Linked DNA regions of Lytechinus pictus. The protein of the gene in region 2 purifies or fractionates together with the protein of the main gene of each other region. This does not show direct contact. Links are inferred from orthologs where the notes say so. Each region holds a gene or a part of one and is shown on either strand. Other genes may lie near its edges.

Region 1 (6,933 bases), on a different chromosome or scaffold from region 2:
TTTGTTTTGGGGTGACTGAATTGCCTTAGAATTGATGTATTACAATCCCACGCCTGCATGCATCTCTTCATGATATTACATCAGGTTGCAAGACACCCAAGTCTTACTTTGAATTGTGCAGGTAAATTTAGACTTTAGATTGTTTAAAAATTTTCACTTATATTCTTTATTATTTGTTTAAAGTCTGTAGAATATAATTTAGGATAAATTAAATTTGAGTGTTAAATTCCTTAGCTGAAAGTGACATATATAATCAGTGTATTTCATTTTCTTTCTTTTTTCCCCTCCCACTTATACTGTTTCTGTCTTTTTTTTCTTTTTCATACACCACCATGTGCTTTTATCTCTCATGTATTGTCTCTTTCACCTTTTTTCTCTTTTAATTTCCCTTGTATCTGTTTTCCCATCCTCTAATCTATTTATACAGGAAATATATGAAGAAGGAGATGGATGCTGGAAGGAAAATAAAGAGTGTCCATGGGCCAGCAAATCATGATGTAATAAAACTGTTTTATATGTATTTTTCTTTTTCTATGACGTGTATTTTTTTCTCATTCAATTCTAATTCAAAGGAAACATGTTACAACACTGGCCTGTAATTTTGATGGTTTATGGCCAGGCCACTTTTCTTCAGAACACATTTCTATATAACGCAAATGTGAAAAAGTTCAAAAGGTCACCAAAAATATCTAGGGCTAATAATAAGTGGGGCAATGAAGCCAATTAGTAGCATGCAAGATCATACCTTTAATGGCATTGGAGTAATTTTAATAATTCAAATCCTACTATTACAAAAAATATTTCAATATTACAAGGCCTGAGTCCTTTGGGGGAAATGCCTTTGCTTCCATCACATTAGGTATAATTGAAGGAAAACAAAGACCACAGACTGAATTACAGTACTCTCTTTGATAAGCAGTCTGTAGAAAACCATCACAAAGCTTAATTTTCGAAAAGTTTTCCATCCATTTTTTAAAATGTATTCAATTTGAGAAGAATTTGGATAATCATAAGTGTCTGGTGTGTCAGGATACAGAAAAGTAATGGTGGTTAACATTTTGTAATTTAATGGATACATTTGATGGGTAACACAATACAGATTATGTTTTCATGAACAGGCAAGTTTAATAGAGTCACAGCACCAAACTGTGTTTTTGATAAGTTTGGCTTTGGTTTGATCTGTTCTATTTCCTTTGACTTTTGAATTCTAGAGGGTTAATGTCGGGACTGTCTTGTGTGATCACTGTTACTAAGTTGAAGTCAGTTTTAGAGGGTGCAGATCAATCAAATTTCAAAACATTGATTGCATTTTACTTAACATTTATTTTAATGTTAGTGAATTTTCTTATGGGATCACACTCAAATAACAGGAACAGATTGACAAGTAATAACAAGTGTCATGGCCTGTGTTCACTCATATTTTTCTGGGATCAGTTTATTCATTGATAAGTGCAATAGATAGATTCACAACAGAAATGCCATATCATTCTTGCATAATCTTTTATGTGATTATATGGAGGAGATTATTGAAGTAGAATTTTTTATTTAAAAAAAAAAATAGTTTTATTATTATTTTTTTTTTATATAAAAGTCATGAGTGGGAGAGCAAAAATATATCTAATTGAGGGTTGAGAAACAGGAAGTAACTAATTTGTGTAGATTTGGTAAAAATTGATAAGCACTGCATCTAAAGATTATGAAGGGTATTATTAAAGCCTTTATTACAATGAACTTTCTGTTGCCTGTAAAGCAAAACAACACCTCACCCCATTTCAATAGCTTTGGTAGAAAAATATATACAAAGGCTTACGTAGGTAATAATAAGAAAACACAGTACATGTATTAATTGCCATTGAACTTTCCCATGTAAGCGAAAGATCATTCTTGTGAAGTGATTTGAAGTCGTGTAGATGATTATCAAATATAATTTATGATGTGACACAATGACATTTATAGTGAAGATGTGTTTGTGCCTTAAATAAGTATATTTATTGATCTACTACTTGATTATAAAATTGAGTTTTCAATGAAAATTTATGAATTTTTGTCTTCTTTGTGGATTTTTGTGATTGTGATTCTACTACCCAAGTATAAGGGACCAGGGGGCTTTTTGTAAAGCTGTTGGTAAGTTAAGAGCGACTGGTGATCCTTTTTTGTGGTAAATCAGGGAATAATTTTCCTGGTATCGCATCGCAAATTGCTTCACATTTTTGAAAGACTGCTATGCATAAAATCTTTTGTATAGCATAATTTTACATAGGACTGTACATTACTTAGTTGAGAGCTTTTCTCTTAAAACCAAAAATGCTATTCATATTTGTAAAGCAAAATTATTCCCTGTAAATGATATTCACCATTAAATGTTCGTTGGTGATTATTTAGCGCGTGAGAAAGGTTCACCAGTCGTTCTTAGAGTCACTCTTAACTTACGAACAGCTTTATGAAACGGCCCCCTGATATGTTACTTGAGATGACATGTTGCTCTTTACCAAGAAGAAATTCTGATTAAGATTTAGATGTAAACTTCAGGATATATTGGAAATGTATAACATGTCAGCCTTGTTGGGACAAAACTTTCAGACAAAGTCATTGCCTTGATCTGGCTAGTCCCAAGTCGTGAAAATGTTAAATTACTGAACAGCCTAGCTTGTATGTCAAGATGGGCTTGATAGATGTAAATGCAAAAGTCTCTACTCAGTGTCAGTTCCATTACTTGGGGATAGACCGATTCATGATAATAGAATCTTAATTAGTCTGCTGTTAAATTCTTAGTGCAATTTGACTGTGGAGTCCTTATGCATGGAGAATGGACCAATAGTGGATGAATTACTGAAAGGGGAATAAGTGGGCTTGACTTTGACAACCTCAGTGCTGCCTTGAAGATTTCCCAGACATTTAGGACTACATGTATAGTCCATTCGTTAAAAGAGAAGTTCAACATAAAAGTTTTGGATAAATAGTTGTTTATGAATTAATTTTGTGGAGTCATGCGAGTAAGGGGAGGGGATCAAGGGAGAAGGGCCCAGAAGAAGAGGCCGAGAAGATTGGAGAGCAATCATTAAGATGGAGAACAATTTTCACTCATCCTACAGTCGTTATTTATATGCCCATTTAAAAAAGATACAATACAGGACATAGAATTTTGGAAGACAAATTAGACAATCCATATTTCAGTATTTTTTTGAAGATCGTGTTTAGGGATATTTTTTTGTAGAAAACAGACCATTTGTGCCGAAGCAGGCCTAAGTGTACTATAATTTATGGTAGCATCCTTCCCTGGGCTATATCATTTTTTCAGATTGAGACATGGCGCCAAATATAGTGCTCGTCTCCCGAACTCACCCCACAAGCTACTCCCTTCACTGACTGTCAGTTTCGCCCTCCAAAATTGTATAGTTCAGTGGCTTTGAATCCAGCTATGTTGTCTCTTAAAGGAGAAGTTGACCCTGACAAATGCTTATTGTAAAAATAACTGAAAAAAAAAACATTGTGAAGGTTAGAGGAAAATTCATGAAAGATTAAAAAGTTATCAGTTCAATTTTTTATTTGTGATATTATATGGGAGCAGCTTTCCATGTATCATGAATAAAAAAAACAATGAAATGTCATTTCCTCAAAAAATTGTGAATTGTTTTTATTGTACTTTCAATATATCAACAGACAAATCACCCACTCCCGATGACCCCCCCCCCCAAAAAAAAAATGAAATTCATGCTTTTTATATTACATAACTTGTGGGGCAGCTGCTCATATATGACGTCATAAATAAAAAAATGAAATTCTAATAACCATCTAAATCTTTGATGGATTTTTCTCTAACCTTCACGATTGTGTTTTTATTATTATTATGGTACTTTTTAAACAAACTTTTCTTCAGGGTGAACTTCCCATTAATTTAGCGGTACGGTCAGCCCATTTTTTCTTTAAAATTTGTAATCTTACGGACTCCATGTATTGTAAAACGGGAAAACCAACTAAGCTAACGAAAACGAGTAAAATTCAGGCAATTTCTGACCTAATGACCTCTTTCACTTGCATGATCTGATGCTGTATTTTGTGAGTATTCGAGCTGTCAAAAATATGGATTATTAGTTTTGTAAATATGGTTCCCATGATGAAATAAATGGTCTCAATGCAAGCCGCGCGCGTAGCTCAGGCTCAGCCTCGGGTCGCCGCCGCTTTGCCTATGGCTACTGGCTATACGCTAGTCCTCGATCCTAGATCCTCCAGCTCCAGCGCACACGTATGTTCACGGCCTCAACTCAGTGGAGCGCGCCATTGAAAGGCCTTTTCGCCTAGCAATATTGTTAGCGACGTTTGTAAGCATCACTTTGCTCACTCTCCAAAATGTCTGCGACATTAAAATTCTAAAAACAATGGATTTATTGAATTTTAGTGAGGCTATGAATGTTTATCATTTACATTGACTATCACTTATCAGTGTAACAACATATACCGAATTTACAAGCAAGTGTGGGTAAGACTAGCCTGGAGGCGTCTGGGGAGTGAAAGACATATACTGTACGTATGGTCCCTCCCCTAACGCCTGGGAGCCTAAGCTATATTCCCACACGCACGGGTACAAAACCTGAAACTTTCGCCCCCGAGATTTCTACTTTCCCTCTAAAAGATCTAGCCCTAAAACATGTACATGGAGTTAAACTCCATTCCCAACATTTCTGCGATATTGATTACATTTTTAAAGAAGAATTCATGAAAAAAAACGAGGAAAATGTTATGAAAAGATGAGAGAGCTTACGGCCGTGTTTACGTCGCCATCTTGATTTCTTTGTCTTCCGCTTGGCGACAGCACGCAATCGCGTGCTGATTGCGTGCTGTCGCCAAGCGGAAGACAAAGAAATCAAGATGGCGACGTAAACACGGCCGTAAGCTCTCTCATCTTTTCATAACATTTTCCTCGTTTTTTTTCATGAATTCTTCTTTAAAAATGTAATCAATATCGCAGAAATGTTGGGAATGGAGTTTAACTCCATGTACATGTTTTAGGGCTAGATCTTTTAGAGGGAAAGTAGAAATCTCGGGGGCGAAAGTTTCAGGTTTTGTACCCGTGCGTGTGGGAATATAGCTTAGGCTCCCAGGCGTTAGGGGAGGGACCATACGTACAGTATGGTGAGACTACCACATATCGACCACCTCTTTTGAAACCGACCACCTTGCGCGCGTTAAAATTATTGCGTATTACAAACGATACGCGCGGGAGAGTAGGCGCAGTGTCCATAGAAACGGTAAGAATCGATTTTACGAGAAAAAAAGAAGCAACAAAAAGTAAAAATTTAGTAGAATTAATCAAAATTGTATTGACCAGACCCAATTCCCGCTGAAAAACCAAGAAATCCGATAGGAAACGGCTTTAGAACAAATATCCGTCGTCAATCGTCGAATCATGTGCCGGAGCTCGCAGTGGAAGTAGTGAGACGATCATTTAGCATGTTGACTTTATAGAACTGATTTGGAAGAGTAAAAATATTTCGCCACCGCGACAAGAATCGGCCGTAAACTTAGTGTATCGCGGGTGGTCGGTTTCAAAAGACGGGTGCAAATGAGCAAATGTAAAATCGTCGTATTCGTTGTTCGTCGATATATACGCGGATTGAATCGGAGTCGCCGAGCGAAACATGGGAATCTGATCTGCTCAATTTTCTGCACAAATGGGACTAAAACTGGGTAAAATTGATGAATATTTTCGCAGATACGATGCTGAGAAGATTAGGTGGTCGATAAGGGGTAGTTCCAACCATATATGTCTTTCACTCCCCAGACGCCTCCAGGCTAGGTAAGACTTTGAATTATCAGTCATTTCGATGCAATCCCAAAATTGATGAAAATATAACAGAAATTTGATATAGCATTGCAAAATCCTTATTTTCATATCCCCTTAAATTTTAATTATTTGCAAAAGCATCTTAGTACGTTTCCTAGAATTTTTCACAACTGATAACGGTGGTGGCTTATTGATTCTAGTTTTTTTAAAGAAATGGCAGGCATTTGAAATCAGGTAAATTGTTGTTATATTTTTAAAAGAAAATCGTTAGATTCGAACAACTTACTAATAGTTCTCCAAAAGAAGGGTTATATTCTATTATCTGTGTGTAAATGATACATGACGACAAATTTTACGAGTATATCATTGCATGTTGGATAACCTTTTCCACGATGAGTTTCGTAATTGAGAGAAAAATCAAGTTCATTCCTAGCACGAGAGCCGCAGAATGATAAATTTTAGCGTGCGCACACGGGCTGATCGCCGTGTCTGCGGGGACGGATATCTAGTCCCATACTGGTGTAAGGTGGTATTTTCCACGTACCTTTTCCCCTTGTAATGACCACTTCGCACTTTAATACTTAATTTTGACACTTAATCTGTGAAATTAATGGTTTAACGATTTTGGAAAATGTTCGGAATATACCTAACACATAAATGATTTCATTTTCTAGAATTATTATTTCTTTCCTGAATTACCAAAAGGCAAATTTAGGTCAAGATTGCATACTCACATTGACTGTTTAGCATAGCGCATGCATATCTATTACAATTTCTATTATGTGTGTCTATATTATATAAATTGTCCTGATGTAAATATATGTTATAAAATCATATTGGATACAAAAATCATGACGGGTGTCATGGTCTGAGTTTTCTTTGTGTATAACAAACAAAATACTGCATGATTCCAATTTTATTTGAACATGTCATCGTATGCAACGGCAATTTCAATCAGTTTATAATTTTCTTTTGCTTAGTCAGCGTTTATTTTTCAATGTGCAGAATTGGTTCGCAAGCGGTTTTTACACCAAAGAGCTTGCCAAAGAGCTCATTCCTGGCACTTCGACTAAAGATGGATATGATTATTTTGTTTCTCATGGTTATCCATTTTTAAAAACAATATTTATTTACTGCAGCCAACGAGTTCC
Region 2 (7,810 bases):
TATAGTTCACAAGGAATACTATATAAAATTATGAAGGAAGTTGCATTCCCATCGTGCAAAAAAAAATTACTATGAAATTGTTTTGCGTATGTACATGCACTTACCAAGTACCTAATTGTTTGTATCAGACAATTTTTTTTCTTCGTTTTTCGGGGGAGGGGGTACTTTTCCCAACCTATTACCTAAATCTGCAACATTTGATAAGCTTTTATGAATGGGGGTTTCCAGGGCCCGTTTATTAGTTTCTAGGATTCTTTTGAGCATTGCCGGGCTAAAAGTAAATTCCTGGTTTTTATACCTGTTAGTAGTGTGGATGTGTGATACAATTTTTGTTTTTGGTTTACAAGTATAGCTGAAAAGTGAAATTTGACAGTTCTGATTAATGTTGCATGGATCTACTAAAACTGTGTTTTTTTTTTCTAATTTACAAATAGTTCAGTTTCAGTTTAGAAGCTGGAGTTTATTTTTTGTTGACAGCTTAAAAAAGAAATTAGCAAAGAGAATGATTAAACAAATTATGAAGAGAAATGAAATCCGACAGATATGAACAAGCATTGCTTGCACTGACCAGAATAGAAATCAATAACACTGCATGGCTGCATAGGAGACCCTTATTCATTTCGCCTTTTTTGAGGGGAGGGGGAGGCTGGAGATGGAAAAGGTTTAAAAAGTCAATATAAAACTGATGAATATAAATGAGTGTAAAGTCAGAAAAATCCATGTGTACAGTCAATACAAAATTGAATTACTATAGGAATACATGTAGCTGCTATGACCCCCCCCCCCCGAGTAAGTAAAACATACATTTCTTATCTTTTGACAATTAAAAATGTGAAGTATTATGAAACTTTTATGATTTTAAAAAGCCTTACATATAAGTACCAAGAGAATTATGCCTTTGAAAATCATATAGCACTGGTAGATGTTCATGTGTAATGTCAGTTACCGACAAGTAATAATAAAATATTCAAATCAAAGAAAATTAATTAAGAAAACGAAAAAGTTTTTTTTATTGAAATGTTCCTAGAAACTCACGTATACTTCCACATCAAGCTCACTTTCATGTGAAGCCCTGGCAAATTAAGTGTAATGTCAGTTACCAGCATGGTCGTGGAAAAATTATCATAGCCCCCAAAAGACAAAAGCAAATTATTTAATATTTTGACACGTCTTAACCTAGTAACAAAGGTATATTCACATATTCAAATTATTACTCTATCTACTCAGGGACATGAGATCTTTCAATTTTACTGAACACCCTGAAATTGCATGTCCTTTTTGTGTAACGTCAGTTACCGACACATTTTTGCTTGCTGATGCGTTACAAATGTGGTTACAATGAAAAACTTAGTATCAAAGTATACAGCAAGGTTCACTTTATTAACTCTATCAAAAGCAAACTCCCATCATTTGTTGTTTTAGAGATACACACAATGAAAGGTGTGTAAAATTGTGCCGTGTCACGTCAGTTTCCATGAAAATGCCCTAAGGAAAAGTAGATACATTGTTTGTGGAGATTAAATCAAAAGCAAATTTAAAGAAATGTATGTTGTGAAGAAATGAAATACCAATTAATCTGATCCAATTGAATACGGTTTCAAATAATCTATTATCCAAAAAGTTTATAAAAATCATTGTGATCCTGCAAAATAGATGGAAAGCAGGCTAGTAATGAACAGATGGACCAATCTTGGAAGCATTACAGGAACCTTGTTTTCAAGTTCTATGTTCATGCAATTAAAGCCACTAGAAAGGTAGCCTTGTCCACATGTGTTTAAAAAACACATTACCTTAAAATAACAATAATAGGGTATTTGTATAGTGCACAATGTTCTGTATTCTTAAGTCAAGTTTGAAATTAAATGTGCAAAATTTGTTTACATTGTACAATTCTTTTGTTTACTGTGCTCTTTTCCCATTCTTTAATGGTAATTGAAATTATTTCAGTTATTCTTTTAAGAAAATTATCAATTATTTGAGTAAGAGATGAGCTGGTAAATTGACCCTGTACTGTTAGAGATTTGTGTCACAATTGGCTACCCATCGTTAAATGAGAGTTTAAATTCTACTGGAGTTCAGATCATGACCCATGTGTGTCAATTTAAGGATACAGCCCCTGCATCTTGGATCTCCTGGATGATGATATCAACAGAAGAACGTGGGAAGAGTGTGGTCAAGAGGACCGTCTCACAGGTATTCCTGATCATCCTCTCCAAGGCTTTCTCTCTTACACCTGATGAAAAAAAAAACCACATCATACGATCATGATGAGTAATAATTAATGTATTTGAGATTATAAATAAGATGGCTGGGGTCTGTTGAAAGTATATATTGAGCACCTTGTCAAAAGGCTATACTGCATCTTTTAGCCAGAATCTAGCTATAATCCAGCTATGCAGCTTTTCATAACTTTCTGGTGGTGATTTTTGATGAAATGCGATGATTAGCAATGAAAGTCCACTTGCAGGCTTCGTGCAAAAAAGGCCCCTTTCACAGGTTACTCCTTCCTACTGCATATGTAATACAAGGCCACTACATGATCTCCACGTAGCCTTAACTTTCCAAAAAAATGTTATGATCTCTTAACAATAATGTATGATTGAAGTATAGATGATGAGGAAACCACTAATCAGTCAATAGCAGTATGTACTACATTTCTCCTAGGATGTGTAAAAGAAATATAATGAACAAAGATACAGTGAAAATGAAGAAATGTGCTGAAAACTGTATTCATTTACAATGCACGCAAAATTGAATGTAATATTGTAAAACATTTTATTAAGTATTGACAATGAAATGTGACCAAAGCATTAGTTGGAAAAGAAAAAAAAAAGGAAAAAAATTGATTGAGAAATTTCTTTACCTGCCATTCCTACTTTTGGTTTGTATGTAACTGTTACTGTTGCCTTGTCCATGAGAGCCTTATTTGGTTTGATATCCCCAGGCCCATAAACTGCAGCCATTACTGATGTATCACCTGCAGTACAAAAACATCGAAGGAAAAAGAATATCTTGCTCAATGCCACTTAAAATGACAGCTAATCACATTGGCAATTATATATGGATTATGTCTAGAAAACAAAAAATGTTCTTGATATCTTTAAAATCAAGTGGACGTTGTAACTCTGGCAGCTCTGCTACTCGAAGTAGCAGATATCTGAATTTCTTGTGACTCAAGAGCTATGTTGTATCAACCAAAAGTTCACTAAGGCCCGTATTCTGAAGTTGGGTTTAATTTAAACTCTGGTTTTAAGTTGTGGTTTAACTATGGAAAGTCAGTTGTTACTTAATCTCCAACAGTAGAGGTTCAATGTATCAGCTCATTTGACTCCCAAAACATTTTAACTGCCTGGGAAGGCATTAGATAATTAGTGAAGAGCACACTTAAAATGAGAAGCATTCACTGTAAACAAAATTTTGAAATGTTTGGCTTCACATAATTTTAGCACGGAGTTAGACCATGGTCTAAGTTAAACCCAACTTCAGAATACGGGCCTAAGTATTTTTTCCCAGTCTTTAGGGTAACCAATTATGTGTGACTGATCCCTATCAAATCAGCTTATAAATAAGCCTTTGCAAACCACAGCCAGTAAAGGATCAGGGGTCCGTTGCAGAAAGAGTTGCGTTTAAACGCAAGTCAAAAAATCAATCGCAAGTCCAAAATGCGCGCTGTTGATTGGTTGAAAATCAAGTTGCACATGATTTTTAGAGTTGCGTTTAATTCAACTCTTTCTGCAACGGGCCCCTGTTGCTTAACCTCCCCAGATAAACAATGATATTCCAGAATTAAAATCTGTTTCCTATGAGATCATGAGTACTGTATTTGAGTCAAAGTGTTCAACTTTGACCACAAACATTGCAAGAACACCTAAGATCAAGGATCTTGAACCTCTTGTAGATCCTTTAAAATGGCATTTCAAGTCCAGCATAATAAGATGGATCCAAGACTGGGACACACATTTAAAAGTAGTATTCTATTATTGTACATTGTAATCGTTTTTTGTTGTAATCAGTGTATTATGTGTTGTATGTTCTGTGTAACCAATTCGTTTTGTAATGTTGTTTTGTTTTTCGTTGAAAAGGCAGCACCTTGCTTGACATATATGCAAACTTCTTGATGCACTTCCCATATTATCTTTGTATATTAATATTGGAATATCTAAATATAAATGAATTGAAGTACAAGGAGCCAGCATCTAGCCCTGCCTTTGATCCATCAAAGATTAACCTCAGCAACAGCAGACAAGGAGAAAATTCAGAGAAAAACTCATCAATCCCAAACATGGACCCCCAAATTGTCCAAAAGAACAAATCAACAGTGCATAACACAAAGACCAGGCCTTTCAACCTGCTGCCAATAGAGAAGACTTTGTAATGGTCTCTCTTAATATGAAGTAATTTTGAGTATCCTCCTTCATATTGTTCCCTTAAACAATGTGATTACAACAGAAGCACTTCTAAAGTTAGGCTCATTAAAGTACGACCAGCCAATTACTCTTTCTTGCAGATCAAGGACACTGATGAATCCCAATTTGATAAAGAGGTGCCTGAGAGCAAATGCAATATTAAAGACTCTTACTTGTAGATCAAGGCAATTGGCGATTCAAGATAAGATACAAACATGCTGAGAGTCGAAGTGAGTGAAGCTCATTAACGTATGACCAGCTAATGACTTTTACTTGCAGATTAAGAACACTGATGAATGCCAATTGATACAGCCTGAGAGCAAATGCCAGGAAAACAGAGGTACTTTAAGTTTGGGTCATCCAAGTTACACCAGTCGATAATTCATACAACTTGCAATTCAAGAGCAGATACATTTTTTTTGTATTCCATGCTAATAACAAGTGTAGCATTTCTAATGCAAGGGTCGTTAAAGTAAATCCGGCACATGACTATTACCTGGAGATCAAGTCTGCCAAAGACTCAAAACCTGCAGAACAGGATTTCAAAAATAAGGATTAAACAACATCAAACAACAGTCATTTCATTAGCACAAGTGACCCCCTCCCCCCAAATGTTTTTTTAAGAACATGGACCTCCCATTTGTCCACATGAAAAGGTCAATGGAGCAAAATAAAAAGACTGGCCCTTTTCACCTGCTGCTCAACTCCCCTAGATACTTGAAGTAACAAGTTATCTTTTGCTGGTTTGGGTTTTTCTTTAGCAGTGTAAATGTAAGTGAAATAGAGCCAGAGACAGCATTAGTCTGCTAATGAATGAATGATGAAACTATGAATTGGCAAAATTTGAAATCAACAGTTTGAAAAATGTCTGTTTTCTCATTAAAAAAATGTTAGTCATTGAACGAACATGGAACGAACCATCAGAGAGTAGATTCCCAAAGTCCACCAACCTTTGAATGAATCTAGATGCAACTAGAGTCCTGAACTTCATTAGGAGGAATTTTAACTTGTGCACTCTGTTCATTAAAGAACTGTATTTGTCCATTGTAAAGCACCATGGAACCCTTACACTCAAAATAAGGTTGACACTTGACTGTTTTTTTTTCCATCTGTTTAGCATTAAAAAAATCTTATTATAACTGCTATTAATTCTACATCTGAGACAATACTGGAAGCTAAACGGGGATGGGTATCCAGGATATGTGGAAAAGGTGCTAACCTCATTGCCATTCTGAAGGACTAGAAGAAGGCACCACAGCTCTGAGAGTGCATTTATTTACATCCTACTAATAGGCCCATTTGTATAGTGCAACCAAGTACTGCAGTTGATATTTGTTTAACCAGGCTGTAGCTGATCACATCACACACACAAGCCGTAGGTTGAAGAGAACGTAGGCTACAATACATTTCCAACAGCAACATACAACTTTGGACTCCTTGCAAATTAATCTTTTTATATGAACTCTACATTAATGGAATGAACTCTCCCCTCTGACAACTGACTGTTGGCTAGCCCGCAGAGATCTACTTCCCCAAAATACACCATTCATTCTAAACTTACCATTCTCTCCAACCAACCTCTAATAAAAACTCCTCTTGGATTACTTTTTTTGGAGGGACAATATAGCAAATAACCAAGTACAAACTTTTCACAAGTTTTCCTGACATGGAAAAATTCCCTAAAATATTAACCTTCAGCAGATGAGCTAACCCCTTAAAAATACTGAATACATCACTACTGGGCTGAGTAAGCTACCTCTGACCACAGGTGATGGTTCTAGTAGTGTAGCAGTCCAGGGCCCATTTTATATTGGACTTGCAACTGTTGTAACCATAAATGGCAACTACCATGGTAACAGGGCTCAGCAGCCAATCAGAATCAAGGTTTCCATGGTAGTTGCCATAATGGCAACAGTTGCAGGTCTTTATGAAACAGGCCCTCAGCTCTAGGTAGATTACGCATGGTTTTAATTGTCTGGCTTGCCCATCGGCCCAACGATTACGTAACGAGCAACATTATCTTTTCATGATAAAAGATAGTAATAGCAGTGTTAGGTACGCCACTGATAATTCAAATCTTCATCCAAATCTGTTGAAACTTACCTCAACATAAAGACAATGTGTCACCCATTACGATGATGCATTGATTAAGACATATGATGAAGAATAACTCAAGTTATGATTAAAAAAAAAAAAGATTTCTAAGTATTATCCATTCCGAACGAATTGTCGACCATCGAGTATCAATCACCACCCCGCATGCGCATTCGGGGATTGCCAATTCGGGGCGGAGATTTTACATCGCGCATAAACGCTTCTCGCGGCATGGTGACGAAGCGTAAGTGCGCATCATTTGTGAATGGTCATTTTCGCGGCGCTCATAAATATGCATGTGTGTTCATGATACGCATATATCGGAGTATTTTGTTGTTGTTTTGCAAGGCACAGTGTGCAAGACGATTGATTTGAGACTTAAAGTTAATTTCACATGTTTTAACTAGATTATCTGAATTACAGTGCACAATTACGACATGGAAGACCATTGGGATGGATTTCAAATATAATATGTAAGTGAGTTGATAACATTTGGTTTTGCATCTTTCTTTTTTCAAGTTGTTTTGAGAACGAGAATTTTTTCTTTCATTTTAATCATCATTTCTTGTTTCTTGTCTGTCCACCGCAATTTTTTGTAGTCCTATGTTACATTTTCCCCTTCAGTACACTGATGCTTGAAAGTATGAAACCGAAAAATGCACCCCCCCCCCCCCCCCCCCCGCGTTCATCCTTTCTCTCGATCCCTAACAATAACAAAAAGGATAATAACATAAGCTGATACTAGATAGAGTTTTGACAAGTTATTAAAGTCGTTTTTTTTTTTTTTTTTTGAGAGAGGTGGGGTGGGGGGGTGATGTAATTCCCATTTTCCCCCCTCATTTTTTGTTTTTATTCGTGACTTGATATCCTTGCCTTTACGTGATTTCCTATGCATGCTCAATCCTTGAAACTTTACATAATTTTGAAATATTTTTACAGATCCATAGTACACCATACAGAACTTTTTTTAAAGGAGCTAGTCTCAAGTTTGTCTCTCTGTTTTGTTTCCTTTTCTGTGAGTTCCTTTCTTCTCATTTTGTTCCTCTCCTGTACTAACTTTACAACCATTTGCTTTTGTTTTTGCTCCTCTAGCCTCACTTTTTCCCAATTTCATTGCATTCATTATTTTGTTTTCTCTTTCATCTACAGGAAATTTTTGTAGCCAGGAGGCTGTATCATTTGATGAAAACATCAGTTTGGATTCGACCTTACCACAGAAATGTTAGGGGCCCTATGAAGCATTGCATCCGCTCTGCCAAACTGCCTCTCACCCGAGATATTTGTAGAACTACACGATGCACTTTCTGCAG
Region 3 (7,778 bases), on a different chromosome or scaffold from region 2:
TGTAGCCCATGTACACAAGTATAGGCTAAAAAATAAAAATAACAAGTATTTTGGCCAATTCGTCGGTGCATGTAGAGCAATGGTATGCCGACCCAGGCTTCATGGAGAGTAAGCCTACGTCAGTAGTAATAAAACTAATACTAGTACTTTTACTCTCCAGAAGCCTCCATCCAGGCTATGTCATGTACTGTACATATAGGACTCTAGACCAAAAGCTTCGGTCTCTGTTATGTTGGTTGTTCAGCTGGGGCCTGTTGCATGAAAGGGTCTTTCGTAGAACCATTCTACGTAAGAACGAGATATCGCTCAACTGTTTCACAAAGCCGATTTGGGCGATACGAAGAATGGTCCTTGGAAAGACACCTCCAGACATGTCCTTCGTAGGCATGATCTTCTTTGCACACCGCCCGCCACCGTCGGCATTGAGAGAAAATGCGTTTACGGCAAGCCATGCACACTGACATATCACCTTTAAACATTTTTTGGGGTTGCACACTGATGCATTTTATCTGGGATGGCGCCAAGTTATTTTTTATATGGGGGCTAGCTAGTTGTCATCAATTTCAGGTCGTCTTTTTGCACGGCAAGACGACCAAAAACAGATGTCATTTTAACTTCTCCGGGCATTATGTCCGGGGGTAATGTAGGCCCAAATATTTTTTTAAAATATGTTTGCTTTTATTCTCCGTCCTATCCCCACACCATTTCCATTACCGTAATTTTTTTTTGAAATATCGAAATGGGCGGCACTATCTCTTTGACCCCTCATGCTTTCTCATTATAGATAATTAAACAACATGAAAACAAATTTCTTTAAAAGAAATTGTGTAAAGTAAAAAACGTGTTTATAACGTTCAGCAAAAAAAAAGGATACAAAACTAAAATGTTAAACATGGTAAATCATTCATTTATTTTTATTTCATTTTCATTATAATTATTTTTTTTTGCTGAGATTGATATTAATCAATGAAAATTAATTGTCGGATTTTTAATTGGGCTAACTTGAGATGTGAAACAGTGAAACAAAACAAAAAAACTGCAGTAGCAAAATAGCTAATTGAATTTAAGATACAGATTAGGAGTATAGCTATATTACGAATCCATCACAATTATTACAAATGAAGATAAGCTAGCTAGTTCATTAAAGAAAAAAATCTGGAAAGTCCATACGAAGAGGCGCATTTTAAATCGTAGGGTACATATAGGCCCCTTTCGGCCCCTAAGTAATGTTAAAGCTTCTCTACTCCTCAACTTTGAAATGTTAAATATATATTTTTTATATTCTTAAAACTTATATTCTTATATAAGCTTCCATAAATTAAGTAATCAACTTTAAAGATGACCAACGTTTATGATCATTGTAATATTTAGCATTATTTCTGTAAATAGTATTTTTTCCATTGCGGATTGCACACCTTTTTCTATGTTTTAATTGTTATTGCAAAGCACTACTTTATCCACTTAGACATGTTTGCAGCAATTTTCATATTTTCCTTGTCTTCGGTTACTCATCATGCAATTGAGGTATGTTTGTACTCTAAACACTCACATTTGTATTTCTTGCGTTTTATCTGACAAATAAAATAAATAAATTAGATTTTTCACAGGCAGCCTCTCATATTTTCCTTTTTAGTCTCATACAATCAGACACTGTTGATTTTGTTTACTCCATTCAAACCCAATTTTTAACCTCAACAATTAACGCATAATTTGCAAAATTATCATTGTATATATGTATTCTATAAAAAATCAGTATATTGAACTAATAAAATGTCGAAATTACTTAGTTAAATCAATTTTTATGTCGGACAAGGGTCTCTTTCGTTGAAATATCAATGAAAGGTGTCTCTAAAAGGACACCGTGTTCTAAATAAGGGAAATAATGAAAATTTCGATTTTATCCAGTTATGTTTGTGAATCTTGAAAGTTTTTTCTCTTTTTACCTCATAAAGTACGCTCCATACATCAATTCTACAATCAGTAATAAATAAAACATTATTTGATCCCCTTTTATTGAAATATATGATTTTATGAAAAGTCGTCATTCCGAAATAAAAGGTTCAGGTGACGATGAAGACTAAATATTTTTCCGATACTATCGATATCAAACGATGTCGCGGACTTGAAAGACAAAATTGCCTTCGTGAAACGGAAAGCGCTGATTTGTCGCCAATCTTCCTATCTCGGAAGAATGGTCCTAGGACGTTCCTACGTATCGCTCATCTCGTCATGCAACAGGCCACTGAACTCCGTTTAACGGAAAGACAAGACAAGACAGTGTCAAACAATCAAGCATTTGTTCCAAAGAAAAAGAGAAAATAAGCCAAACATTGCCAACCTTATTTTGCAACACATGCCATGGAGTACTAACAGAGAACAAGGTTATATTTGCATTATCCTGGTTTAGGTCACCACTCCATTCACTGCCGTTCATTTCGTCAGCAGCGGTGATCTCATTTCCCATTGACTTTGTACACAACGAGCGCACACACACACCGACACTCACGAGAAGAGGTGACTTATTTCAGGATAAGGCCGTTATATCATGACCTTGTTCATTGAATAAGTGGACTAAGCCTAGGGCTAGGCTACTATATAGTATTAATGCAAATGCAGTAGGCCTAGATCGAACAATAATAATTAATATTCCTGCAATTATTCACTGCGTTTAAAAATTCAACCCTACACAGAAAATATGGTATGGGACTACGCCCAGCATTTCTTTACTATCATCTTCACAATAAAACCCATTTTACAGTAAAGCATTGTATCCCACAAAAATAATACGCTCAAAATATTATTACCTTCATCTGAGATAGGTTCTTAGAAAGTCTAATATTTTTGCTTTGCCCTCTCGTTCCGGCCATTTTGACAAGGAAAGCAACACTGTTTTACCTCTAAAACCACGCATACAGGCATTCGTTTTCATGAAGCAAACTAGAATTGGAAAATACGACACTGGAGAAGAAAAAAAAATAAAAATAAAAATGCACTTAGTTAGCAGGGACGTCCATGCCCAGGGGTGATGAGAGTCGTATAATATTTTGATTATCAAATAAAAAAAAATAACACAAATTTAAAAATGATAATAAATGATAAAATTAATAACAATAATAATAATAATTATCAGTGGCCGCGGAAGCGGGGGGGGGGGGGGGGGGGCTGGGGGGGATTGCTTCAATCCGGCCCCCACTTTTTTTCCAAAACCGTGTACAAAAACGTAAAATGACCATATGATAGTGATTTTTTGCATGGTCAGCCCCCTCACTTTTGGCTCAGCCCCCCCCCCCCCACTTTGAAAACCGTTCCGCGGCCCCTGATGATAATAATAATAATAATAAGTAATAATAATAATAATTAAAATTAAAAAAAGCTAAACATGCATTTTCGTTTGTTCATTGAACTTCTAATAAAGGGATACTCCGGGCTGAAAACATTTATATATTAAATAATTAGAGTAAAATTTACAAAGCAAAATGCTGAAAATTTCATCAAAATCGGATTATGAATAACAAAGTTATTGAATTTTAAAATTTAGCAATATGCACGCATCATGAATATTCATTAGATGGACTAATGATGTCACATCCCCACTTTGCCTTTTCTTACGTTATAACATGAAATCATAATTGTTTAATTTTTTTCATACATGAAATGTGTGAATAATGTGTCTCCTTTATAATGAAATAAGTTGCAGCAATGAATATATCAATATCATGCACTAAATCAGTTATCAATCCAATTTTTTCAGTTCTTGGTAGAAAAAAATTGAATAAACCTGATTTCATCTAATAAAATACAAAAAAACAAGTAGGGATATGACATCATTAATTTGCTCATTGAAAATCCATGACGAAATGCCTAGAAATCTGTTTAAATCATATTATTTTCAGCCCGGAGAATCCCTATATCAATTTTCATCATTTTCATGACTTTTTGTTTCCAAATTGAAAGACAAATAATACCAAATACCAATATCAAATAAAAAAAAAATTATATGTGTCGTTATTAAAAGAAAACGGGGGAAGGGGTGTCTCTAAAGTTAAATTAAGCAGGGTCACTGTCATCGAGTTGAATAGGCGCCTTATTGTTTTGCTAATGACCACACATTCAAATATGTCGCTCGATATTGTTTTGCTTTGTTTTCTTTTTTTACTTCCTTATTTTATTTAATTTATTTAATTTAATTAACTCATTTACTTACTTATTTATCAATTTTATTTATTTTTATTTATTATTATTATTATTTTTTTTTTTTTTTTTTTGGGGGGGGGGATACAGCGATCATGCACGCATTCACAATTACATGCACACACATACCATCTTCCCCCATGATTCACCTCTTTACCACAACAGGTAAATTTTAAAATGTACAACTTTTTTGCAATGATTTTAATTGTCGGGCATTCTGTAACCCCAAAATGTTAACAAGATAATCGACATCAATAAGTGAATGCGGCCTGCCATCAGCCGGAATTTACATGTTTTACGGCGAGCTATTAGCGAACTATCTATTTTGCAGAGTCGAACCCATTCTACGAAATCCAAACTTCCTTTTTTCGGGTCGGGAGAGGGGACTTGCCCTAATGGATGATGACTGGCCCCCTCGTACCCCTGGATTTATAATGACATGATATTACTTGAAAATGCACTCTTTTCTGATAAAATCAACGATATAAATTCTCTATTATCATGATTTTACTGTTATACACTATGCAACATGATCTTGATGGTACCTTACTAAACATATTTTCTTTTCATATTGAGGGAAGTGTAAACTCATCAATTGATCAATAACATTATACTGCATGAAAATGTACCATATTCTAACAAAAGTAGCGAAATAATTTATGTATGTACGTACCACAGTAATTAGACCATGTAGAGTCGATTATAAAAAAAAAATTACACCTGTACTACACCCATCAAATATCATAAATTGCCTCAGCTATAACATATTCAAAATTCCGCAAAAATTAACGCATAATTATAACTGAATATTCAAGTTAGACCCATAATCTATTAAACATTCTTTAAAAAAATAAGATAATGCAGTTGTTAAGGAAAACATATTCCAAATTTTCATAAACGTTTACCATACTCATAAACATAACGGAATATAATTTTCAAATTCTATCGATTGAAAGGCCATAAATTCATGACATGTGTAATGTTCATAACAATGATAAATCCTGATAAATAAAGATTTTAAAACTACTAAGGAATGAATTTGAGTATAATACGAATAAATTGGATTATACAGTATATAAAATGAAATGTACGCAAACGCACGTTTATTCTAAAAATAAACATGCAAATTCGATAAAGTTGAATGTAGTTGTACATCATCCTCCATCATGCATGTAAGAAGTCCAACGCCATCAAAATTTATATGAATTTCGGCCACGCTTATACTTTAACTCAGCTTGACAACATTTCTCTGGGTAAATGACATTATATACTTGATTAAAAATGACAAAACTTTTAAATGACACATTCGCATTATCATATATAAAAAAGCTCCTGTTGAAAACGTGAATTCAAAGAGGTGAACTGATAAATACTAAACTCGAAAGTCAAAAACGGGCCTAAGCTTTCGATCCTAGCAGAATCTTCGTCGGAGGCAAAATGACCAAATACTAAACTCCTCAAAAAAAGTTTGGAAATCTGACTTTGATCGATAATCCCTCCTCGGATTTAATAAATAACAATGTTTAATTAATATCAACGAATGGGACATTTAATTTTCTTTAAAATGATACCCTACATGATATGATTATGGTTCACATGGAGGTGCAGTGCCTTGAAATGTGGGGCAAGTTCAAAATTTAAAAGTTGCAAAATGACACAATATTGAACTTTACTGTTCTTTTATCCGTGGTGATGAGTGAGTTTCTCAGCGGTTTCTTTTGACTTTGATCGGTATTAGTAAATATCAATGTGTAATTAATATTAATGAATAGATCATTTAATTTTCTTTAAAATGATACCCTACATGATATGATTATGGTTCACATGGAGTTGCAATGCATTGAAATGTGGGGCAAGGTAAGAATTCAAAAGTTGCAAAATGACACAATATTGAAAGTCACTGTTCTTTTTTTCAGTGGTGATGAGTGAGTTTCTCAGCGGTTTCTTTTAACATGTTTAATTGTTTTCATGCACCTTAACATCAACATTAACATGGAATCAAACACACCTCTGCACAAGCAAACACATAACAAACAAACATGCATGGGTATTTCAAACCACGACTCAAACCATGTTATCTCACAGAACCATCACTACAGAAGCAGGGGCTTGATTTGAAAGGATTTTCATCTCTATTGACGCAGACAAAAGAATAATGTTCTGTATCATGTGTATTGACCGATCATAACAAGCATGGAATCATTTTAAAGAGAATTAAATGATCTTTTGAATGATGTAAAATATGCATTGTAAAATTGGGAGTTGGGAGAAATTAATGGCCAAACACAGATTTCCAAACTTTTTTTGCTCGTTTTGCAGCTTTTCAATTCAGACCTCATCCAACACTTTTGAATTCTGTTCTTTTCGTGATGGCATGATCATAACAAGCATGGTATCATTTTAAAAAGAATTAAATGATCTTTTGAATGATGTTAAATATGCATTGTGTTAAATTGGGAGTTGGGAGAAATTGATGGCCAAACACAGATTTCCAAACTTTTTTTGAGGGGTTTATATTTTGTGTACTGATGATGAAATTACTATATGTTACAACCACATGTCGTCTTCCTATTTATCTCAACTACTTCCTAGAATGAAAAATGGGCATGCACTAGCGATTTTGATTGATTATTTAGTGATTGATTGCAAACATTTGCATTACAGAGCCTCGATCTACTTGTGATAGGCTATCAGAAGTAAAATGACACGTAACAGATTGAGAATAGTTTAATATTGCCCCCCCCTCCCGTTCATGAAAATATCCATCGGGTAATCATCTGAAATTTGACTAACATTTATGGTGAGTGTTTAATGAAATAGTGTATTGATAACGTATGAGAAAAGAAAATGGGCAATGAATGAATGAATGATAGGCAATACCCTTTTCAAACTTCATATCACATGATTTTTGACAAATTAAATGTTCACAGTTTGATTCTAATCATTCCTAATTCTTTTAGAATATAGATCAAATGACAATAATATTTTGAAACCGAAATTGGTATACATGCATGTTTCCGATTTTTTTCATCATGATACAAACACACAAGCATATATATTCATATAATAATTGGAATAAGCCTATGACAGGAGACATATTGTAGTTATAATTTCGTGTAGTACAGTTCCTCGGTTCCTTTCCAACGTGATCATATTCCCAAGTAAGACTGGACCTTATCCAAGGTTTCCCTAACTTTGGGGAAGTTTTTCTTCTTACACCAATCTTTGAATCGTTCCGTCGCCTTGGGCGCTTGTTCGGGTTTCCTGCAGTAGAGACGTACGTAACGCTCCTGAAATTTCTTCGGAATGATCCAGGAAACCTATTTTGAAAAAAAAAACATATTCCATTAAATGATGAAATTTCTTTAATGATAAATTGGAAATTATAAATACTAGTTTGAGACTTGTTTTAAATCATATTCCTCGAGGGTGCAAAATGGCCGCGTCACAAAAAGCTGTTTCGCAAATCTATTGCAGCCTTATCATTCTGTCTACACCATTAGCACGAGCTGGGGGTGTTTCACAAAGATACGTATGACTGATGGGGTGTTTCAAGAAACTTGCGATCAATAGCAAGTCAATTTTTG
Region 4 (7,887 bases), about 18 Mb from region 2:
CCACATGTCATGGAAGACAGTCTCCCAAATTGGCTGTGCGCCTCTTAATTCTGTTGAAAAACTTGAAATAGGTCTAGTCTAGATTGAAAATAACGATTAAAAAGGCAAACATTGATGCAAATTTTATTGTGTGAAAAGACAATTTAGAATAAACATATTGCAAAAAAATCTATAGGTATAAGTAAGACCTTCTACTTCTAAAAATATGTCAACGGTCATAAAAACCTAACGTCCATGTGCAGTGAGTCGCCATGTGCAATTTTTTTACTGTTGCGCCACTCACCTGTCACTGCCTGACTACAATGGTTCTAGAAATCTTTTGCAATGTTGAAAAGTGTCTTGTGGCATCTGATATTAATCCTCAGTAATTCCCTGAAATGCTGCAACGTTTGGTTAAAAGATCCAGCAAAATACAAAGGAGTTTAGCGCAGTCAAAGTCAGACTTGCAAATTTGGATTCGTGCGGTGTGAATTTAAGCTGCCATTGTTCTCGGGCGACGATTTGAGACGCCCACACTAAGCAATCGATGTTTCCAAAACTGCCCGCTCAAGTTACCAATATTTGGTATCAAAATATAGATTATAAAAAAATGCTCACGATCATTTCATTTTGAAGGTGGGGGTGACAATTGTTATCAAAATAAGAGGGGGTGGCGACTCAACGTATATCTCAACCCACGGAGAGGTTTCAACAACACAGCTGAGTCAATGCACTTTTGTGTATGGTAGGGGTTCCTAAAGCTGCGCGGGTCCTAAAGCTATGCACCACTCCATTGCGCATGCAATTTCAATGGGAAAATAAATGCGCACTCGAGCTCTGTGTGTGAAGCAGTGACTGCAGAGTGACGAACGATCCTATTCAATTTTTTTACAGAGGCTGCAATAAATTCTTGAATGCAGAGAAAACCACCAAATGTAGGAATTTGTTATTTATGTTCACTTTAATTTCATATTTCCCTATAATAATACGAACACATTTTAGAAATTGAGGCACAGGAAATACTATTTCTTTGCATGATAAATCGAGTGCGTAGCTTTAGGACCCCTTCTACATCGGGCGGCGAAATCAAGAGGTGTTCGGAAAACACGGCGGGATTTTCGTATTAGTGAGTTCTGTGATATTTTCTTCTTGGTTAAGGATTATTAGAATATTAATTACAAATTAGTGAAAGACAAATGGTTCAAAATCAAATATTAAAATTGGCATAGTTTTTATCGTTTGAAAACAAAGTGCGTAGCTTTAGCCCCCCCATCATACGATCGGTGCGTGTGTGTCCGCATGCGCGATATGTCTGTGTAGTAAATGTATTGACTATTGGATTTTTCGAATCGGCGACTCAAAGTCAAAATATACCCATCATTGTCAGTAGAGGCGCTGGTCCAAAAATTGGGATTGTCCCAGAAAACAAGGATATCCTCATAAACCAAGACAAATCATGTCTTGATAAATTGAGACTGTCCTTGTTTATGGGGACGTTTTTTTTTCACCTCCCCCTACGGGACAAAGACAGCAATTACGGGAATTGAGAGTGCTAAAAATAGATTCAGTGACCTCAATTACCCCCAGTTCACCGTCTATTTTTCATGACTTACTGTCTTCCAATAATCTTGTTATGAAACCCGATATGTTGAATACATTGACTAGCACACTTGATTGGTGTCGGCACTTGACAGGTGAATGAACTTTCCTAGATTTCTTGTGTGAAGAAATCCTTATAAACTGAGACAGTCCCTGTAAACTGGGACGATCCCAATTTTCTGACCAGCGCCTCTACTGATTGTGTCGCCGTTCCGGAAGTGTTTAATTCATGATGTTCTTAATCTTACTAAAAACTGTAGTAGGGTGTCTGGAGTAAAAAATTATTTTTCTTATTTCAAGAAAATATCACATATTCTTTGTGAATTTGAAGAGAAATTACCTTCAGACTGACAGAAATGTAACATTTTTGAAAAAAATCCAATTATTGGCTGCAAAAAAGAAGAATGAAATTAGGTAAATTTTCAGCATTTCTCTGCCATAGACTGTGTAGTTAAGAAATGGACACACACAAATCCAAATTTTTAGCTTCCGAGAGCTGTTATAAATTTATTATTAATGCCAAAAACTTGTCCATAAAGAGTCCAATAGGATTTTTTATGCTCTATCTGATGGTATGATTTTTATAAAGATTTGGAAACCAGATCACAATGAAAAATTGCGACAAAGTGAAAAAAATTGTGCAAAACAGAAATTTCATTCTCCCATAGAAAACGCATGGAGAAATGGCAATCTCAACACACACAAAAATAAGGGTTTGCAATTTATCTCTAAATCCTTATTTTAAATGATCATATAAACTTGTCCTTACTGTCAAAAGAAGCCCCTGAATTTTCTCTTTCCATACATATCAAACACAAGTTAATAATCAATTCAGATCACATTTTTCTAGTAGCCTGAACTTCCCCCAAAAAATGTGCCATATTTTCCCCTAAATTAGCCTGTTTTAAAACTTTTATGCTGACACTTTTCAGTGTGGCTTCAGACACCCTAACTGTAGCAATTTCAGGAGAAAAGTTTATCATATATTTGAAAGGATTTGTGGATACTTTCATCTCATACAAATATTTGGGTAAGAATTTTTTTTTTGGTTGCAAAATTGAAGGTTGAAGACTGCCGATGGCGACTCACTGCGCATGGACGTTAAAGCTAAACTTCCTAAACTTAAAGTCTGTTAGAACTACATAACATCATTTACAATAGATGGGACACCACACAAATGTCACATTAGTCATTACCTTTCCATTGATATCGGCTAAGCTGACTGAATTTATAGGTTTGAATACATCTTCTACTTCATTTAGTGCTGCCTTGAAATCGTCTAAATTCTGTGCTATCTCTTTTGGAACTGCCATGACTTTCTAGATAATGAAATTTATCAATTCACAACAGCAGAAAGTAGTTCCTGACGACACGCATGCACGAACTCTGACCGTACCTACCTATACCGTACGCACCGGAGCGCGAGCGTGAGCTGAGCCAGCTAGCATCGTACCCGATCGTACCCCAGCGCGCGCGGCGGCGACGACGCGGCCTAAAATCAGAAAGCTAGTATGAGAAACATGAGCTAACTCTCGCGCTGGCGACTTTTTCACTTTTTTTTATAAACTTATATTGTTCATTTAAGTATGCCATATCTTATGTTTAATTTACATTCCTTTTTCGGTACTCCTCACCTCAAGAATTCTTTGCTCACATTTAAAGGAGAATGAAACCCTTGAAACCAGCTGAATCCATATCAAAGAGAAAAATCTAAGAAACATATTGTTGAAAGTTTGAGGAAGATTGAATGAATAATAAGAAAGTTATGAGCATTTGAATATTGAGATCACTAATGCCATGTAGATCTTCCTATTGGCAATGTGACCAAGATCTGTGATGTCACACACGTACAACTCCCTCATTACTTTAGTACTTATTTCACTTATATTCTCACTTTTATAGAGTCTATCACAAGGTAAGGTGTTCTCTTTATATGAGAGGACAAGTGCATAGGTTTCACAACATTATATCATTGATGAATCGTTTGTCATATGATTAGAATGAGCAAAAAGAGATGTTTGGGGTATATTTTCAGTGTCCAAAAGGGGAGAGTTGTTCATCTGTGACATCATAGATCTTGGTCGCATTGCCAATGGGAGAATCTCCATAGCATTAGTGATCTCGACATTCAAATGCTCATAACTCTTCTATTGCTAGTCCTATTTTACTCAAACTTTTGTTGATCTTATTCTTTGATTTTTCTGCTTTCACAAAAGCTAACTTGCTCCAAGAGTTTCATTCTCCTTTAATTTCAATTTACCCATTTCCCGGCCAGCCCCCGCCCCCACAATCCTCCTAAATTCCTCTACATTAAGCCCTCCCAGGACCAAAATCCAATTGAAACCAGTTGGATTTCCAACTGGTTTCAATTGGTTTCAATTGGTTTCAACTGGTTTCAATTGGTTTTAACTGGAATTTAACAATTTCCAGTTGAAACCAATTGAAACCAGTTGGGCAACTGGAAATCCTAACTGGAACCAGTTGGGTAACTGGAAATGACCTCCAATTGGGAATGATTTCTAACTGGAACCAGTTGAGTAACTGGAAATCCCAACTGGAACCAGTTGGGCAACTGGAAATCCTAACTGGAACCAGTTGGGTAACTGGAAATGACTTCCAATTGGTAATGATTTCTTACTGGAACCAGTTGAGTAACTGGAAATCCCAACTGGAACCAGTTGGGCAACTGGAAATCCTAACTGGAACCAGTTGGGTAACTGGAAATGACTTCCAATTGGAAATGATTTCTAACTGGAACCAGTTGGGTAACTGGAAATGACTTCCAACTGGAAATGATTTCTAACTGGAACCAGTTGAGTAACTGGAAATCCCAACTGGAACCAGTTGGGCAACTGGAAATCCTAACTGGAACCAGTTGGGTAACTGGAAATGACTTCCAATTGGAAATGATTTCTTACTGGAACCAGTTGAGTAACTGGAAATCCCAACTGGAACCAGTTGGGCAACTGGAAATCCTAACTGGAACCAGTTGGGTAACTGGAAATGACTTCCAATTGGAAATGATTTCTAACTGGAACCAGTTGGGCAACTGGAAATCCTAACTGGAACCAGTTGGGTAACTGGAAATGACTTCCAACTGGAAATGATTTCTAACTGGAACCAGTTGGGTAACTGGAAATCCTAACTTGAACCATTCAGTTGTGTAACTGGAAATCCTAACTGGTACCAATTGGGTAACTGAGATGACTTCTAACTGGAAAGATGGGTAACTGGAAATGAATTCTAATTGGAACCAGTTGGGTAACTGGAAATTATTTCCAATTGGTTTCCAATTGGAAATTTTCCAGTTACCCAACTGGATCCAATTGAAACCAGTTAATTTGCATATTATTTGCCAGTGTGCACAGATTAATGTTTTATGAGATTAATCATCATTAACAATGTATCTATTTAATTCTTTACAATTTCAAGTACCACACTTTTTAAAGATTAGTATTTAGAATACTTAGCAGTGAAAACCATGTTCATAAATGTTATAGATTATAATTAAAACAGATTAAAGGATAATTAGTACACCACTAACTGTTACCAAATTACATCAAATAAAAGTACATATATTTGAAGATCTTCCATATAAATATATAAATACATGAAAGTCTGTATTTTATCAATGCCCTTTACATTGGTATTAATAGACGTATAACACTGCTTCTGTGTTGGCATGAGAAATAGTTACTGCAAATGCTAATTAATTTGTAACTAATTAAGTTCGTTCCAACTGGAAGTTCCAATTGGATCCAGTTGGAAACCAATTGGTTTCAACTGGTTCCAGTTGAAACCAGTTGCCTCCAATTGGTTTCAACTGGAACCAATTGAAACCAGTTGCCTCCAATTGGATTCAATTGGTTTTAATAGGGAAATTGGAACAACTGGAACCAATTGACAACAATTGCCAACTGGTTCCAGTTGCCCAATTGGTTTTAACTGGAACCAATTGGCAACTGGTTTTCAATTGGTTTTTAACTGGAACCAATTGGCAACTGGTTTTCAATTGGAACCAGTTGTTCCAATTTCCCTATTGAAACCAGTTGGCCAACTGGTTTCAATTGGTTTTGCCCTAATTGGTTTTAACTGGATTTTGGTCCTGGGCTTCTATTGTTTTTTAATTCAACTATTTATTCTTTTATTTAGGGGACCCTCTTCATCTATAGCAGTTACAGCCATAATTCTAAACCATTGGCAGTGTATCCTGGCGAGAGATTGGGGGAGGGGACAATGGGGGGGGGGGGGGGGACATCCCCCACTCAATTTTCAAATTTCATACAGGATGATACAGCAGCCTATAGGAGAGGGCCCTCTAGTCCCATCCCCCTCCCCTGACCAAAAATCTCATGAATTATTGCCCCCTATGCCCCTCCGTCTTTCTCTCTCTGCTTGTCCTCGATCCCCTTTCCTTGTCCATCAATCCCCTCTCTCCTCCCCTTCCCTGTGCTTCTCTCTTTCCCTTGATATCTCAGTCTCACTCTAATATTCATTCCCAATCATATTTAATACTAAATGTTCTCTCATTATCCTCTTAGACATTGACACATCCTTTATTTCTTCTTTTTCAGCTAGCAAACAGCCACTAGAATTACAAATACACTGTCAGTCATATTACATTGATTAGAGTTTTTTTTTTCAAATATATTCATTGCACTTTTTCTTTCACATTCAACATTACTGATAAATAATAATATACATTATATTTGAAACACCAAGATAACCAACACACAAACTACAAACTTTAAACAAAACAATGAAAATAATAAGCTTGCACCTTAATGGGGGGGGGGGGTAATACACCTGTATTTCATCCAAATGAATCACTTTCTGAAAAATCATATCTTAAACTAAACCAACCATTTTAGGGATTGCAGCACCCAGTTATTTATGAAATATAAATTCAAGGCTGATTGAAAAATAAAGGAAAAGAAGGAGGGGGGGGGGGGAGGAAGAAAGCAGAGTGTAAAAAAAAGATGTCTGTGTTTTGTAACAATCAAACTGAGAGTTTTTGACATTCCTTTCATTTAGTCTTCATACCTCATCTTATGCAGGTTCCATGACGATCTGTTTCCTCAACTTGAGCTTCATATTGACTAAATATTTCTTTAAAACTCAGTTTAGCAACTGTTCCAGTAATACGAGTACTGGTACAAAAACTTGATAAGTATGGACACTAAATACACAGAAGATGTAATGCATAACATAGAGAAGGCACATTCATATCTTATATAGATTTTTGTATATACAGTGCGTCCCAAAAAAAACTATACACTTTTGAAATGGCTGCCAAATAAAAAGTATATCACTTTGGGGGGAAAGACCTATACATATGGAAAGCCGATAAAGTCATCTTTTAAATGACACCAAAATGTTGGAAAACTATTCATGCTTGAGTGAGCACTACCCACTTAAACAAAGGGTATGAAAATTAGGGTGGGCAGGAATTAGCCTTTCGGTTTCTTTCAGTTTTTGAGAGGCGAGTCCCTTGGAACTTGCAAACTTGAGGGTGTTCTGATGAATTGATGGTCATTCATTATCAATTTAAATTGTTAGAGCAAATTTCATGAATTATCAAATTGAAATTCCATGCATGAGTGAGCATGAATTGCAATCTTTAGTGAAGCATTTTAACTTACAATGTGGGTCTCAGCAGTGTGTTCATTGGAGTCAGGAGAATAGGGGTAAGAAATGACTTCAGTGTGTGAAGTAAGCTGATGGGAAAAGGGTCAACAGAACGTTTAGCCTCCCTCCTACAGGTCCGTCCCTCCCCCCTCCTGTTGAGATTGAGACTGATTGCTATTACATGTACGCATTAAGTGCAAAGCGGACTGTCAATTTGATAATAAATTCTGAAAATTAGATCATCAACTTTTATCTATCAATCATTCAATCAACAATCTGTTAGTAAATAAACTCAATCAATGTCATCAATCAAATATTCACCTTTTTCAATAAATTATCAATCAAACATTCAGCTTTTTCAATAAATGATTTCATAAATTATCATAATTAGTCAAGTTCTTAATAAATCATTCGATGGAAAAGAAAGACCCATCAACCATCAGTCACTTGGCATTTTAAGTTTTAAATACCAACCAAGAGAAAGAAAGGGGTGGAGGGCGGGGTGAGTACATGACATGTAATTTGTAAGAGAACACAAAGAAGAATGCCCCTTTAACCCAGTCTTACCCTATCTCATCCCCTTGCATGTAACAGGTACCATCACATTACTCTGACTCTCACAAGCACACTTGCTAAGATCCACATAATAAACGAAAAATGCTACACTAAAATTACAATTCC

What was found.
Region 1: the proteins of exosome complex component RRP46-like (region 2) and DIS3-like exonuclease 1 purify together in Homo sapiens (affinity purification with mass spectrometry; 5 studies listed by BioGRID and IntAct, with this or other methods). This does not show direct contact. The link is inferred for Lytechinus pictus from reciprocal best matches to the Homo sapiens genes EXOSC5 and DIS3L.
Region 3: the proteins of exosome complex component RRP46-like (region 2) and M-phase phosphoprotein 6-like purify together in Homo sapiens (affinity purification with mass spectrometry; 6 studies listed by BioGRID and IntAct, with this or other methods). This does not show direct contact. The link is inferred for Lytechinus pictus from reciprocal best matches to the Homo sapiens genes EXOSC5 and MPHOSPH6.
Region 4: the proteins of exosome complex component RRP46-like (region 2) and nuclear nucleic acid-binding protein C1D-like purify together in Homo sapiens (affinity purification with mass spectrometry; 4 studies listed by BioGRID and IntAct, counting the BioPlex papers as one, with this or other methods). This does not show direct contact. The link is inferred for Lytechinus pictus from reciprocal best matches to the Homo sapiens genes EXOSC5 and C1D.

The regions. Positions count from the first base shown.
Region 1 is NC_087249.1:24,491,251-24,498,183, reverse strand, and holds the start of DIS3-like exonuclease 1, read left to right. Parts: upstream 1-3,921; 5' UTR 3,922-4,056; intron 4,057-6,933. Other genes in the region: molybdopterin synthase catalytic subunit-like, read left to right, coding at 428-496. UniProt on the Homo sapiens protein: Catalytic component of the RNA exosome complex which has 3'->5' exoribonuclease activity and participates in a multitude of cellular RNA processing and degradation events.
Region 2 is NC_087251.1:26,028,451-26,036,260, reverse strand, and holds the start of exosome complex component RRP46-like, read right to left. Parts: upstream 3,008-7,810; 5' UTR 2,964-3,007; coding exon 2,864-2,963; intron 2,234-2,863; coding exon 2,112-2,233; intron 1-2,111. UniProt on the Homo sapiens protein: Non-catalytic component of the RNA exosome complex which has 3'->5' exoribonuclease activity and participates in a multitude of cellular RNA processing and degradation events.
Region 3 is NC_087246.1:60,406,360-60,414,137, forward strand, and holds the start of M-phase phosphoprotein 6-like, read right to left. Parts: upstream 3,015-7,778; 5' UTR 2,868-3,014; coding exon 2,805-2,867; intron 1-2,804. Other genes in the region: deoxynucleoside triphosphate triphosphohydrolase SAMHD1-like, read right to left, coding at 7,341-7,511. UniProt on the Homo sapiens protein: RNA-binding protein that associates with the RNA exosome complex. Involved in the 3'-processing of the 7S pre-RNA to the mature 5.8S rRNA and play a role in recruiting the RNA exosome complex to pre-rRNA; this function may include C1D.
Region 4 is NC_087251.1:44,239,419-44,247,305, reverse strand, and holds the start of nuclear nucleic acid-binding protein C1D-like, read right to left. Parts: upstream 3,013-7,887; 5' UTR 2,892-3,012; coding exon 2,775-2,891; intron 1-2,774. UniProt on the Homo sapiens protein: Plays a role in the recruitment of the RNA exosome complex to pre-rRNA to mediate the 3'-5' end processing of the 5.8S rRNA; this function may include MPHOSPH6.